3 linked regions of the Caenorhabditis elegans genome follow. The protein of the gene in region 2 purifies or fractionates together with the protein of the main gene of each other region. This does not show direct contact. Each region holds a gene or a part of one and is shown on either strand. Other genes may lie near its edges.

The links. The genes of interacting proteins can lie anywhere in the genome.
Region 1: the proteins of ZK856.7 (region 2) and T03F7.7 fractionate together in Caenorhabditis elegans (co-fractionation; one large-scale study listed by BioGRID). This does not show direct contact.
Region 3: the proteins of ZK856.7 (region 2) and acp-6 fractionate together in Caenorhabditis elegans (co-fractionation; one large-scale study listed by BioGRID). This does not show direct contact.

What each region holds. Positions count from the first base shown.
Region 1 is NC_003283.11:11,309,252-11,314,305, forward strand, and holds T03F7.7 (CRAL-TRIO domain-containing protein), read left to right. Parts: upstream 1-2,170; 5' UTR 2,171-2,270; coding exon 2,271-2,338; intron 2,339-2,607; coding exon 2,608-2,806; intron 2,807-2,855; coding exon 2,856-3,176; intron 3,177-3,231; coding exon 3,232-3,578; intron 3,579-3,808; coding exon 3,809-3,938; intron 3,939-3,987; coding exon 3,988-4,107; 3' UTR 4,108-4,194; downstream 4,195-5,054. Other genes in the region: cutl-18 (CUTiclin-Like), read right to left, coding at 4,206-4,472, 4,634-4,787.
Region 2 is NC_003283.11:10,199,840-10,203,482, forward strand, and holds ZK856.7 (uncharacterized protein), read left to right. Parts: upstream 1-2,258; 5' UTR 2,259-2,259; coding exon 2,260-2,393; intron 2,394-2,439; coding exon 2,440-2,671; 3' UTR 2,672-2,714; downstream 2,715-3,643. Other genes in the region: chpf-1 (EF-hand domain-containing protein), read right to left, coding at 2,878-3,116, 3,162-3,386, 3,437-3,493, 3,571-3,637.
Region 3 is NC_003282.8:6,423,740-6,428,280, forward strand, and holds acp-6 (Histidine phosphatase family protein), read right to left. Parts: upstream 2,401-4,541; 5' UTR 2,399-2,400; coding exon 2,204-2,398; intron 2,155-2,203; coding exon 2,020-2,154; exon of another isoform or gene 1,950-2,019; intron 1,936-1,949; coding exon 1,791-1,935; intron 1,743-1,790; coding exon 1,360-1,742; intron 1,281-1,359; coding exon 1,032-1,280; intron 983-1,031; coding exon 944-982; 3' UTR 861-943; downstream 1-860.

The DNA of each region.
Region 1 (5,054 bases), 1.1 Mb from region 2:
AGTTTGTTTAGAACCCGGTTCCCTATCACGTGGGTCGTGACCCAGCTTTTATGTGGGTTGTTCTGATAAAAATACTGAGTCATGGAAGAAACATTCCTGAAAATCCTAAATTTTGCCAAATTCCGGATACTTAATGGGTTATGATGCACGCTGCATACTTATTCGGGAAAAGCATAAATGTAGAGAAAAAGAGACATAAAAGACTTAAAGTGGACTATTTTGAAGTATCTCAATGGGACTTCTTTTGTAGAATTATTTGGAGACGAGTCGAACTCAAAGAATGTCCTAGATGAAAACGTTTGAAGATAAAACCAAAAAGATGAAAAGTGACTGATTGTGAAAGACAGATAATTACTAGGCCATTTAGAGAAATTTGCAAATCTGGAACAACTAGATTAAGAAAAAATTTTGTAGCTTGCCATAGATTTCATTCGGAGCATTAATTATGAGCTGAAATACTATCCTAGTGAGCGAATTTGTCCTAAATCAGTAATAAATTGAAATAGAACTGAAAAATATATTAAATCTATTTTAAATTGTAATGGATTCCAACAAAAATTACAGATCCTGAGACTTAACACTTAGTAACAAAACAATTAAAAATTTTCTTTTTTATTTCTCACTCCAAGTCATCAAAACTAAACATTTGGAGTCTTCTTCTTCCTCTTCTTCCAATATGCGGAATTCTTCTTCATTTTTGCTCAATTTTTATTCAAAAACGCCAGCATAAGTATGTGCTCATCCTTGAATAAATGAGGCAATTGAAGAAAGAAAAAAGAAAAAAAGTGAGTGGCGAATTCTGTTGGTGGTGGCACTGGGTGAAAGTGGTGAAAACCCCTTGAAGAGATGGAAAAGGGAGACGAAAATACGCCAATTTTTCATAAATGCTTATATTTTTGTGGTTGAGCAAGGGTGCGGACAAGAGAATACCCTGTGGAGCTTTGAATGAGATGTTTGGAAATGGTTTCAGATTTGTTCATACACGACATCACAATGAAGAAGAAAATATTGGGCTATAGAAGGACAAATTCTCTTGAGTAATGGATATCTTTAAATGAGATGGATGTGTGGTAATTTCCGGTACATTTTTTCAGATACAAACGATATAATTTGGACAGGGATGTTGTTAAAGACGTAGAGATATTATTGTAACAACTAGTACATGGAGATAATAAAATATCACGCAGAAAAAAATTACCAAAGCATGAAACGTCTACTTTAATCATCAACTAAAAATTTCCAGCAGCCGTATAACTGAATAAATGTTTTTTGATAAGCTACCTGAAAATACCGAACGGTTCATCCAATCTTATCCACTCTTATCTTCAAATGTATATTATGTGGATTAAATAATCCCGCGATTCATAAATACGAATTTATAATTGTTTTAAAAATGATTTTCCTCCTATTTTTTAATATTCCCCACTTGTGTAATACTTCAAATTCATTTTCCAAATTTTTGTACGTTCATCATTCTCTATTCCTTTACCCTTTTTCCACCTGATTCTTTTTTTCAATTAAACCTATCCCTTCCTCATCACAAGGTATTCAACAATCTGAAAAACAATCTGAAATTGTCTCCACCCATTGAATACAATTGTACGCTCATTCTCTTCAACTATTTCTTACAACAATTCATTCTTTACAAGCCGGGGCTTCAACTTTTATGTGTATGTGTGACTACCGTATTAAACGACACCTCTCTATTTCCCTTTGTTGACCATCTTGCTGCCATCTCTATTCCTGTTTACTTCTCTCTTACTAACCACCGACTATAGGAGACCGCGCACTACTAGTATAATCTAAAATTGTTCCTTTTTCGGTCTCACTTTTTTTCAACCTTTCTCTCTAGGTTCCATTCAACCTTGAGGTTTGGCATCTTCGCTTTTTTTCCAAAATTTTCTAAAATCACAAAACACGAAATTATTTTCTCTCGACCATCCTTCGCCGAATGTCTTGTATTTAACACGTCATATCACTACTGATCAAGTCCTCATTTTTTTCCATTGTGTTCGCCCCTTCTAGTGATAAAATGATAACATAACTATTATATGTATAATCACATAATCAATTGGTGATGACTGCTGATAACAGTTAAAACAGCACGACTTTCTTTTCCTGCATATTAATCTGAAAACCTGTCTCCATCAATCACTTTTTTTCATTTTTTAGGAGACCGCCTCCCACAGCCAGATTTATTTTTTAGACTGTCCCTTGCTATATACACGTTTTTTGTCGAAGAAATCACTCGTGAAACAACAAATTCAAAAATGATTGACGATATGATCACAGCGAAGAAATTCAGTGCAGACATTTTGGAAAAGGCTGAAAAATTAAAGTGAGTTTTTTTTTAATTTTTAGTTGACAATTTTCCGTTCCAGTGAATTTGACATTTAATTTGGGCAACGGCTACTAGTTTTTGACATTTTCAAATTGTTGACTTGCATTCCGATAAATCTATTGAGGATTTGAGAGTAATAAAAAGCAAAAAAAAAATTTCGGTTTTGGACGCCAATTTCCAACAACAACACCTGAAAACATTTAACCTGAAAACATTTTACAGCACATTTTTGTGAAAAACCATTTTTGAGAAAGTAATTTTTGCAGAGTTTCAATCCCATCCGTACCTGATAAAATCGATTCTCCATTCTTCTTTGCCAGATTTTTGAATGCAAATAATGGAGATGTGGAAAAGACACGCCAGAAAATTATACAGTTATTCGAACATCGTAAACTAATGGGATATGAAAAAATCAACGATCTCGATATTTTTACAACCGTAAATATTGGAAAGGATTGTTTTGAGGTGAGACTTCCCAACACTGGATAGAATTACACCTTTTGTTGTTTTTCAGAGATTCCATATTTCTCAACTTAACTATGAAGTCACATCAAAAAATCTTCATGTGTTTGTACAAAAAATGGAAGGAACTGATATCAAAGAAATTTTAAAAGTGATGCCATTGAGCTATGTTCTTCACTCATACTTTATGCTCCAAGAAAATTTTTCAAGAGCAATGGCACACACTGAAAGAAAGACAGGAAAAACATCTTCAGTCGTCTGTATTCTGGATTTGAAAGGATTAAATCTAATGGATTTCATGAATCCGTTGTCAGGACCTGCACAGTTGGCACGGCTCGTGGTGCAAGTTTGGGCAGAATATTTCAGCGAACACGTGAGTGTATAATTTCAGTTTTTACTTGAACAAAACGAGAAATTCAATATTTTAGTTGTGCAAGCTTCTTCTTATCAATCCACCTGGAATTATATCCGTCATGTGGCAAGTCACTAAACGACTCGTGGACCCTAATACAGTAGAAAAGTTAGCTTTCTTGAGCAACGTGGAAGATTTGAAAAAATATTTGGAGCCGGAGGCAATTCCAGTCGAATATGGAGGAACATATCGTGATGATACTGGATATGCAGATCCACCAGAAGGAGCATGTAAACAACCAAAGAGAATTACCAAAGAAGATTATAAACCACAAGAGTATATTTGGGTTAAAAACGGGATTCTCAAGGCACCGAAAGGAAAGAGTTACTCGATAAAAGCATTCCAGACATCAGAGTATATCATGTAAGTTATAAATTTAGAGGAAATCGAATTTTATTTGATGTTACTTACAATTAAATTTTTTTATGTTAGAGTATTTATTTATTAAAATGTTTTCATTTCATATAATTTTCATGAGAGAAAATTTCCAAAAATTGCCGATTCGCACAGAATCGTGAAAATTTTGTGCAAAAACTACAAAACCATTCACACCTTCTGAAACAATTCCGAGAAAATAATGTCCTTTTTCACAGAAAAACTACGACGGAAGGTAAACTGGTTTGGAATTACACAACCAGTGGAGACGTTGACTTCGAGATTGTTAAACGAGACGCTGGTAAAGAGATGGCTATCTGGCCGAAGATCACAGTTACAAGTCTTAAGGTTTGTTTCTTCCCTGTTTTGTTGAATTTGCACTAAAATGTATTTTCAGTTACCAGAGTTTGGCGAGAAACTTGTTGCACCGGGAGAGTATATTCTAAGGTTCAAAAATCCATCAAGTACGTGGTTCCCAGTGAAAGTCAATTGTGCTGCTGAAATTTTAAATGTGTAAATATGACAATTCATGTATTATTATCTTTATTATGAGAATGTTCTTACCGAACATAAAGACATTAAACAAATAAAAAATCAAAAAACCAAACACCCATATCAGATATTCTTTGTATCGAGGAAACGATTTCTGAGACAAATATAGATCACGAGTAGGAATTGAATTGAAATTATAATTACAGTTAAGGAAATTAGTGCAATCCAACGGTTCAATTGAAGGCAATAACCATCTAATTGGGTTGAGTCTACAATTGTTTGAACGAGAAGCTCGGCATGGACTTTTTCAGTATCTTCATTTCCAGTTAACGTTGTGTCCTCACTCTCATCAAAAGTTGTAAATCGGCGGTTACGTGATGGACAATTTGCCTGAAAATAGTATGAATAAACTCAGATTTTAGGAACAATGCCGTAGAGAGTTGATTAGAACTTTTGAACAAAAAACTAACAATATTGATAGTTGCGTTGTCCAACAAATTGTTGAAGATTATATTACCAAAATAATTTTTAATATTAACAAAAAATCTCACCTTTTTACACTTTTCACAGTACTTCACCTCACATTCAATCTTGACAGCCTCTCCCTGTTTAAACCGAAACGCTCGGAACGGTAATACGAATCCTGTAGCGGTCTCCTTAATCTCATCTCGTAAAACGTATTCCTTCGCATGTTGGGTAGCACATCTGACCATAAAGATTAATCCGAGGCATTTTGTTAGAATCCCATAAAACCAAGATAGAAAACCATCTGTCACATTTTTTCCCTTTACCGTGCAATCTCTTTCCTTCTCTCACATTCACCGCACTCTTGTCTGCCACCCTCTATGCAATTTCGGTGGTTTCACTTGTGGCCAAGTGGCAATCGTGTTGCCTCGGGACACGACACACCCGAGTTCAATTCCCGCCTGTGATGCTTTTCATGCGTGTCAGCTGAGATCCCCTGATTAGAAC
Region 2 (3,643 bases):
ACCAATACTAGCCAGCTCCTCGATCTCTTTTTTCTTTTGGTGCCATAGCTATTTTTTTTGTTCTTTGTCATATTTTCCATATTTTTTGAATTTCAAGCATCATGTTGCAGTTTTAATTATGTTTCCTAATGTTTATACATAAGCATTATTTCGTGTATCCATTTTATTACCTGCATTTATTTTGTCTTCAGTTGTATTCTCTAAATTATTTATTTGTGTTTGATCAATTCATTTATGCAGAAAACGAAGAACTGCGAGATGAAGCAGAGTCTATAAAAGGTTTTCTATTCATTTGATATCCTTCGAAAAAACAGAATGACAAATTCATTAGCATGCAGTTAAAAATAAAGAGGAAATGAGTTGAATGGCAATGGAACTCCATTATAATCTTTTTGCACCACAACTTGAAATCAATGGGACAATCTAAATCCCGATAAATAGAAATAATTGTAAACCAAAAATATACACCGTTTATTTACAATGATGATGTAAAAATTATGTCACAATAATAGTAGTTTAATCGGAAAAAAACACATTATTCGTATTTGAATCAGCCCACAAATATTCGTGCGGAGTTTCAAGACCAGTTCGTTGAAACTTGAATTTGAATAATCGGATGCTGGATCGTGACTCAATAATTTAGAATGACGTCAGATTCTATGGCAACTAATTTACTTTGTAGATTAGTCATGTACAGATCCCCGAAAATTTGGTTTTAAGACCTGAAATAAGATCTTCAGTTCATTCGATTTATTTTCAAAACATTGTTGAAATCAGGACCAAGGAAGTAAATGAATAAAACTAGATATTTATTAGATAACCGTCGGAGGATCAGAATTCTGATCAACACTTTTGGCACAACAGTATTTCAAAGTGAAGAGCTCATTTCTCTCTTTTGTACCCTTTCCTGAAGTTAAATTATCATCTTCAGACAAAATATCATTCTTCCATTACTGTTTTCATAAGACAATTAAATTTTTTATACTGGCATAAAATTTTTGTCTAACTCTCAAAAACTAGTCTATCTCTCTACTGTAACCGAACAACAACAAAACACCAAAAGATTAGAAAAACTAGAGTCACACACGTGGTGTACTTTATTTTTGTGATTTTTGTGACAACAATAAGAGAACATATACCAGTTTTCAATATTCGGCTTCATGGAATACTGTAACGCGTTAACCTTTAAATTGTGAAATCTGATTAAACATGGAAGATTGTGTTGAATATGAAATTTGGAAAAGAAATACTCGGGAACAGTATTTAAAAGTTCAAAATATACATAAAATGATCGTTTAGGTTCGAGCCTACATCGTCGAATATCGTATTAAATTACTTATGTTTTTATTGGTAAATTGCCAAATTCTAGAAATTTCTAGCATGTTCGAGCCCATGTTCAGATGCTTAGATATAATTAATAGAAATACAAATCGACTAGAACAATCGTAAAAAATTGTTTTATTTTGAAGTTTTTCTATGTCGTAATATTAACTTTTAATGACAGTTCATTTTCTTTCAGTCGCGGGGTGCTCATTCTTTTGCATTGTTAAATTGATAAAATACTTAAAATGTCGATACAACATGTAGGTGCTAAGATGTGTGCATGCGATGCATGAGTAGCTTCCCGAAGATCACCTAGTCCAACTATGCCTTCTTTACTAGCCCAAATGTTAATTGACATCGTGTGAACGTAGTGTTAGGATGTCACCAGTTACGCATGCCTACGTCTGTAGGCTCTTGTGCTCCTACATGGTATACTTAGTATGAATACAGATATCAGTGCCGATCCTTGAAAATGTGAGAATGTGGTCGTCAAAACAAAATTCACAAATGACACACCAATTGCTTTTTCGTTTAGTCGGTGTTTGTTTGAAAACAAAACTGATTCAATGCTTCATTCATTTGTCTTCTTCTTTTTGATTTACTTTATCGTTGTTTTGTGTAACAACACCAAGGCTCTCAAGGACAGCCCGTATCGATCGCAATTCGGCCGCTGTGGCAGACTACCCATTCACCACTGCGACCGATAGACCGACTACTACCTGTTTATACCCAATTATTCGTTCTCATGTTTCTTTTTATCCTTTTTACTGTTGAATTACCAACAGTTGAACAATCAAAATATTTTCTATAATAACAAAATTTCTCTTCCTCCATTCTTTGTACCTTTCCAATGTATTTCTTTTGTGAGAACACCAACGTTGCTGATATTTTGCCATATCAATAGAACCATTGTAGTCTACAGTATACTTTTTTAGAATGCGTGTCGCAGTTATTCTTCTGTTCTTTTTATCTGTCGCTCTCGCATGTGACATCATTGTTCATTTGAAATCGGACACAGACAAGAAATTCAGCGGACAAATTGTTGCCAGCAATGGAAAGAAATCTGAAAGGTTTGTTCGGAGGACATCAATAGAAAAATTATGTTTTCTTTTTCAGATGGAGCTATTTGAAGAAGCTTCAGAAGAACACCTTCCAACAGAAAGCCGATGAATGTGGACTCAAGGATTGGGAGATTACTACTTGGGATGATGCTGGAAAGCCAGTTGCTACCGTAAAAGTCACTTTGGATGGAATTGGAAGAGTCACTTACAAGGTTGGAGATGATTTGAAGGCAGTTCAAAAGGATCGTCAAGGAGCCATCTGCAAGGGACAATGTGCTCCTTTGTAAATGTTTGAAAACTATTAATCAATGATAAAACTGATAAAACATTCATTTTTCTTTGTCAATTTTGATTTCACACGAAAATTGATAAACAACTTCTGAGATAGTTTGTGTCTTCAAGGCAAAATGGTGAGAAGTGACAAAAATTATGTACAGGTAAGAGAAAATGGCAAACTGAAAACGAGACTAGCAGGGGAATTTCTTGTAAAAGCTTAGTTTAGGAATCGAATCGACATCTTCTCCTCAATATCAGTTTTTTCCATTGCTCGACAAAACTCATCAAAAGAAATTTTTCCATCACGATCTGCATCAGCTTCCTCAATCGTTCGATCAGCAATCTTGTCGAGTTGATCAGAAGTTATATTGGCACCAACCATACTGTTCAGAATGACTTTGAATTCTTCACGTGTGATGTAGTCGTTTTTATTTAAATCGTACATTTTGAACGCAACTGAAATAAAATTAAATAATTAAAAACTTGAAAGAATAATCTTACAAAGCAATTTGTCTTTTCTCGAGTTGAGAGCATTTTTCTTTACTCTTGAAATCGGTTGAAAGTGTGCAAGAATTCGAACAAATTGACGAAAGTTCAACTGTTGCTCTTCGTTGTCACCGTTTGAAGAAGCTAATGTGAAAAAGGCATCTACGATTCGATCACCAAGAGGATTCACAGCCAACTCGGGAACATTCAAAAAATCGTCTCGTGAAAGAAATCCCTGTCCTGAAATGTTTTTTTATTATTTTTATGATAAAAAGAAATACGCAACAAACCTTTTTTATCAAGTGATAAAAATCGGCTGTAGAGTCGGACAATTTGATTTCTGTTAACTGAAAGTAACATTGATCATCTAATTTTCACCAAGTTAAGAACATTAAAAATAATTGTATTTATTATCTAAACTCACATTCTGTTTCACTCATTATTTCCTCAATCTCCTCATCTCGTAACATTAAAGAACTGCTGTTTCCCATTTCGTA
Region 3 (4,541 bases), on a different chromosome or scaffold from region 2:
TTTCACAGATTTTTCCCGTGTTTTCTTATTAAAACTGATAAATAAATATTTTTGTTAATGCTAAAATAATTTCCAGATGAAAAAATTGTGAATTCAGTCGGCAAGTAGCGGTAAAAGTGGTCAATGTAATATGATGGATTACGGGAATAAAAAACCAAACTTTTTCCCAAACATGATACATATGCTGTTTAGATGCTAAAAGTACCTGATTTTCAAAACGAGACCGCTGAAAAAGTTTTGAGATTTTCAAAATTCAACTTTTTTTGTGAAAAAGTCGAGATTTTGGCACAAAATGTTGAATTATGAAAATCTCAAAACTTTTTCAGCGGTCTCGTTATGAAAATCAGGTACTTTTAGCATCTAAACAGCATATGTATCATGTTTGGGAAAAAGTTTGGGTTTTTTATTCCCGTAATCCATCATATTACATTGACCACTTTTACCGCTACTTGCCGACTGAACTCACAATTTTTTCACTTGGAAATTGTTTTAGCATCTGCAAAAAATATTTATTTATTAGTTTTGATAAGAAAAAACGGAAAAAAATCGGTGAAAACGAAAGAAAACACACAGAAAACAAAGCAAGATAAATGGCCGCTGAAATTTGTCGGGGACTCGGCCATGGCCTAGAAACCACTTTTCCTCGTCCCTCGTGAGGAAAAAGTTGCAGTGTATCAAGTGGACGATATCCAAACACTTCGGTTTCCAGTCTGGAGTTTTTTTTGTTCTCCATGGAGCTTCACGTATCTTTTAAATAGAAAAAAAAACGATTTTCATCGCAAAAATAGTTCCAAATCGAGGTATACCCCTTTAATGAGCACAGTAACCCATTCTCCGTTATTTTGCAATTTTCATTGATTACTTTCGAATTATTTATTAAAAAGTAACTACATTAGTACATACGAAGCGAATCAAACGATTATTATAAATTCATGCAAAGAATCTAAGCCTTGTCGCATTGAGACTTCCAATCGGAGAAGGACTGAAAATGTTAATTTGTTACAATAATCTAACCTATTTTTCCAACTTACGAATTGTTTTGCATAGGCGAAGAATTGTTCCAATGGAATGAATCCATCCTTGTCAGCCAATTTCTTAAGTTTTGGAGTAAGTTCAGCTGGATAGATGACATGATCATCGATTGGGTTAGGATCATGGTTGAGAAGACGGACAGCTGGTTTTGGAAGACGTTTAAATTCAACTACGAATCCAGCGGAGGTGGTCAGTTCATCCTTCACGTATCCCATCAATTTCATGACGGAAAGAGTGATTTCGGTGTGCTGGAATTTGAAATTTGTATAATTTTTTCACAGGAAATAGAGGTTTCACATTAATATTGACAGGTTGTAAATAACTTACAGAAGCGTATCCAATAACTTGTGGTCCCTTTCCAGCGTTAGCATCAGCAACCTTATCAATCAAATTCTGAAGCCAATATCCAGCCATCAAGTTTCCGCATGGTCCGTACTCTGCACAAGCGTTCTGATGAACTTCAGCAAATTCCAGAATCTTAGCCTTCAGCTTCTCGAAAGTGTATCCTTTCAACTTTGGAGCCTTAATCCATGATGGATATTCAGCCTTGTAGAGATCAATTTCAATGAGATTATCGGCCAAATCAGCAGCTTTTCCCAGATTCTCCATGTTCCATTTGGTGTTGTCAGAGAAGTATTTGAGCTCAGCTGCGTTGCTTGTCTTGAGCTTCTTGAGGAATGGAAGGGAATCCTTGTCGATTGGGCCCCAGACTGTAAAATCAGGATTTATATGTTCACATTATACAAGTACAACCGTACCCTTATCATTTCCTTTGCATTCCTTAACAGCGTACATTCTAAGAAGTGGATCATCAATGGCATATGGGACTGGAGACCAATGATCGTACCATTTCTTATCCCAATCCCCCCATTGTTCTGGATCGTGGAGAGCAGCAGTGACAGTCTAAAAATTTACTGTTTCAATGTGGCAACTTATAGTTAGATAAATTTTGATTATTTTACTTTGAATTCGGAATTCGCCACATACCTGAAGAGTCATTTGGCATCTGTTGGCAGAACTGGAGTAATATTTAACTTGAGATGAGTTGTAGTTACGAGAGATCAAATTTCCAATAAAGCTTCTCAATTCCTTTCCCAATCCAAGTCCTTGACGCTTTCCGAACTGAAATATTACTAGATTTCATTTAGAAACTCCAATAATTAATACTTACTGAAGTCAATTCAGTATTTCCCTCATGTCCCCAGCTTCTTGGATTCTCTTGGAGAAAAACTTCTGGATGACGGTTTCCGTGACGAGTTCCGAACAGCACAAGAACCGAGTTCTTATCAATTGCAACAGACTTCTTTGGGAGAAGATGGGCGGCTGAAGTAGCCAAGATCAAGGCAGAAAATAGTAGAAGGTTCATACCTGAAAATATAATTTCTTTGTCTGAGGTGGCGTAAAATACAACGGTAAAGTTGAAGAAACATATCACTTTTTAATGAGAGCAAACCAAGAAGTATGAAAACTGATAAAGCTTCTCATGACTAGACTACCTACATGCCTATTCCACAAACGTTGCAGGTCCGCAAGAAGGCATTTACTGTTTAGACTAAAAGGTAGGAGATTGTAGAATGATAGATTCAGGTTGAAAAATACATATTCTGAGAGCTTTTCTAGACAAATTTAAAATTCTGGTAATCAGTTAATTACACAAGAACACTGAATTGCCAGTGAACTTCCATCTTACCCGGCGTTTATATACTGTTTTTGTTTTGTTTGAAACGATAACAAACTGATAAGATAACACGACAGAACACAATTCAATAAAATTGAATTAAAAGAAGATATGACCCGATTTGAAATAAAAAGTATCTTCAGGTGTTTTGTTACCGTTTCATTGAAACAGAATGAACAAAAAACCGTTAGTTGTTGGTCTAATAGAGAAACCATTAAACACGGAACTAATAATTTTATTAAAAAAATCTCAAATGAAATATCACGTTAGTTCAGAAGCCTGCGCCGGCCTCGTACCTTCCCGCGTGCTCAATGATCTGCGAACCCTTGCCGTACAACTTTGGTATTCGTCAGGTTCAACTGAAAGGCACAAGGCAGGCGCGATAGAAGTGGGCCTACAAATCAGTCACTATTTTTAAATTCAAGCTGTAAAATAATTACTTTAACATGCATCCATGGCACATTTTGGAAACTGTTACTAACAGAAAATTTCAAAATTTTACTTCTATCCTGAAACCGATCGAGCACTAGATGCTAACTTTATCTTAAAATTACCTTTTTTCAAGTTACAAAAAATAATTCTTTTAACTTTTCTATCTATGTACCTAGGATAGCAATACTTGAGTACTGTAAATCTAAATCACATGCTACCTAGTACGATCTTGTCATTAAAGGATTTCTCAAGGCCGTGACAAGAGACCAGACGTGACAATACCAAAATATCATGATAAAAATATAGATCACAAACAGAAAGGATGTTTGGATGTACGTTCTCAACATTTTGTGCCATTCTTTTATACTCTGTTAGGTACGACCAAACTTCAATTCAATTTGGCCTCGAAATTGTCATGGAAGGGAGAAATGAATTGAAAATGAGACAATTTTAAATGAATGAAAGAAAAAGATGAAATACACAAAACACATAGAAAACAGACAAACATGAAGAAGATCAATTGTTTATTTGAACTCAAAAACTCCATGTTTCACCATCTCATCTTCAATTCAATTTCTTCCAATTGAATACACCAATTACTCTTTTTTTCTCTGTTTCACAAAACCACAAAGATCGCGAGAAAACTTTAGTTCCGGTTTTTCTCCGAGAATCTGCGAGAGTTCAAGGTGAGTTCAAATGACCGTGAATTGCGCCGTGGCAATTTGAATTTCAATTAGACAGAATTTTTGAGACTTCATGAGCAGAAGGCTGAAGTAAAGTTTGCAGAGAATACGGTAGGATTTGTCTAGTATATATGCCTCCCGGGTTCCTATCGCGATGGCTCCATTGTGCTAATTGAGGCATTCGCGAGTTCGTAGGGCTCTAACATAATTTTCGGATCTTTGGTGCCTTCTGGAAGGGCTACACCAAAAGCTAATTGGAAGAATTACTACTGTAGAAAACTGTAGAAAATTTGGTTAAAATTACAAAGGGGCTAATGAAAAACACTTATTATTGGATAATTGTATTAAAATTGGGAAGGGCTGTTGTTTAGAAACGACTGACAAATATTGAAAATCAAGTAAACAAATTATTTCTTCTAGGCAGCCTACATCTGCCTCATGCCTATACACAAGAACATGTAAACCATTAGTTTCATCTCACAGTTTAATCTCTAACGAAATAATTTTAAAGATTTAATTTTAAAAATAAGAATAGTACTTCAAATCTGAATAAATCTACCTTGTCCAAACAGAAATGTTCACTCTAAACGGGATGAAGATTGTAGTAGGCACATATGTATGTAGGCAGGAAAACGTGCCTGTGTTCCATGAAAACATTAAAAGGAATCTGTTCTTTTAATCATGTCTTCTTTTAGTTGATTAAAAACTATATACAT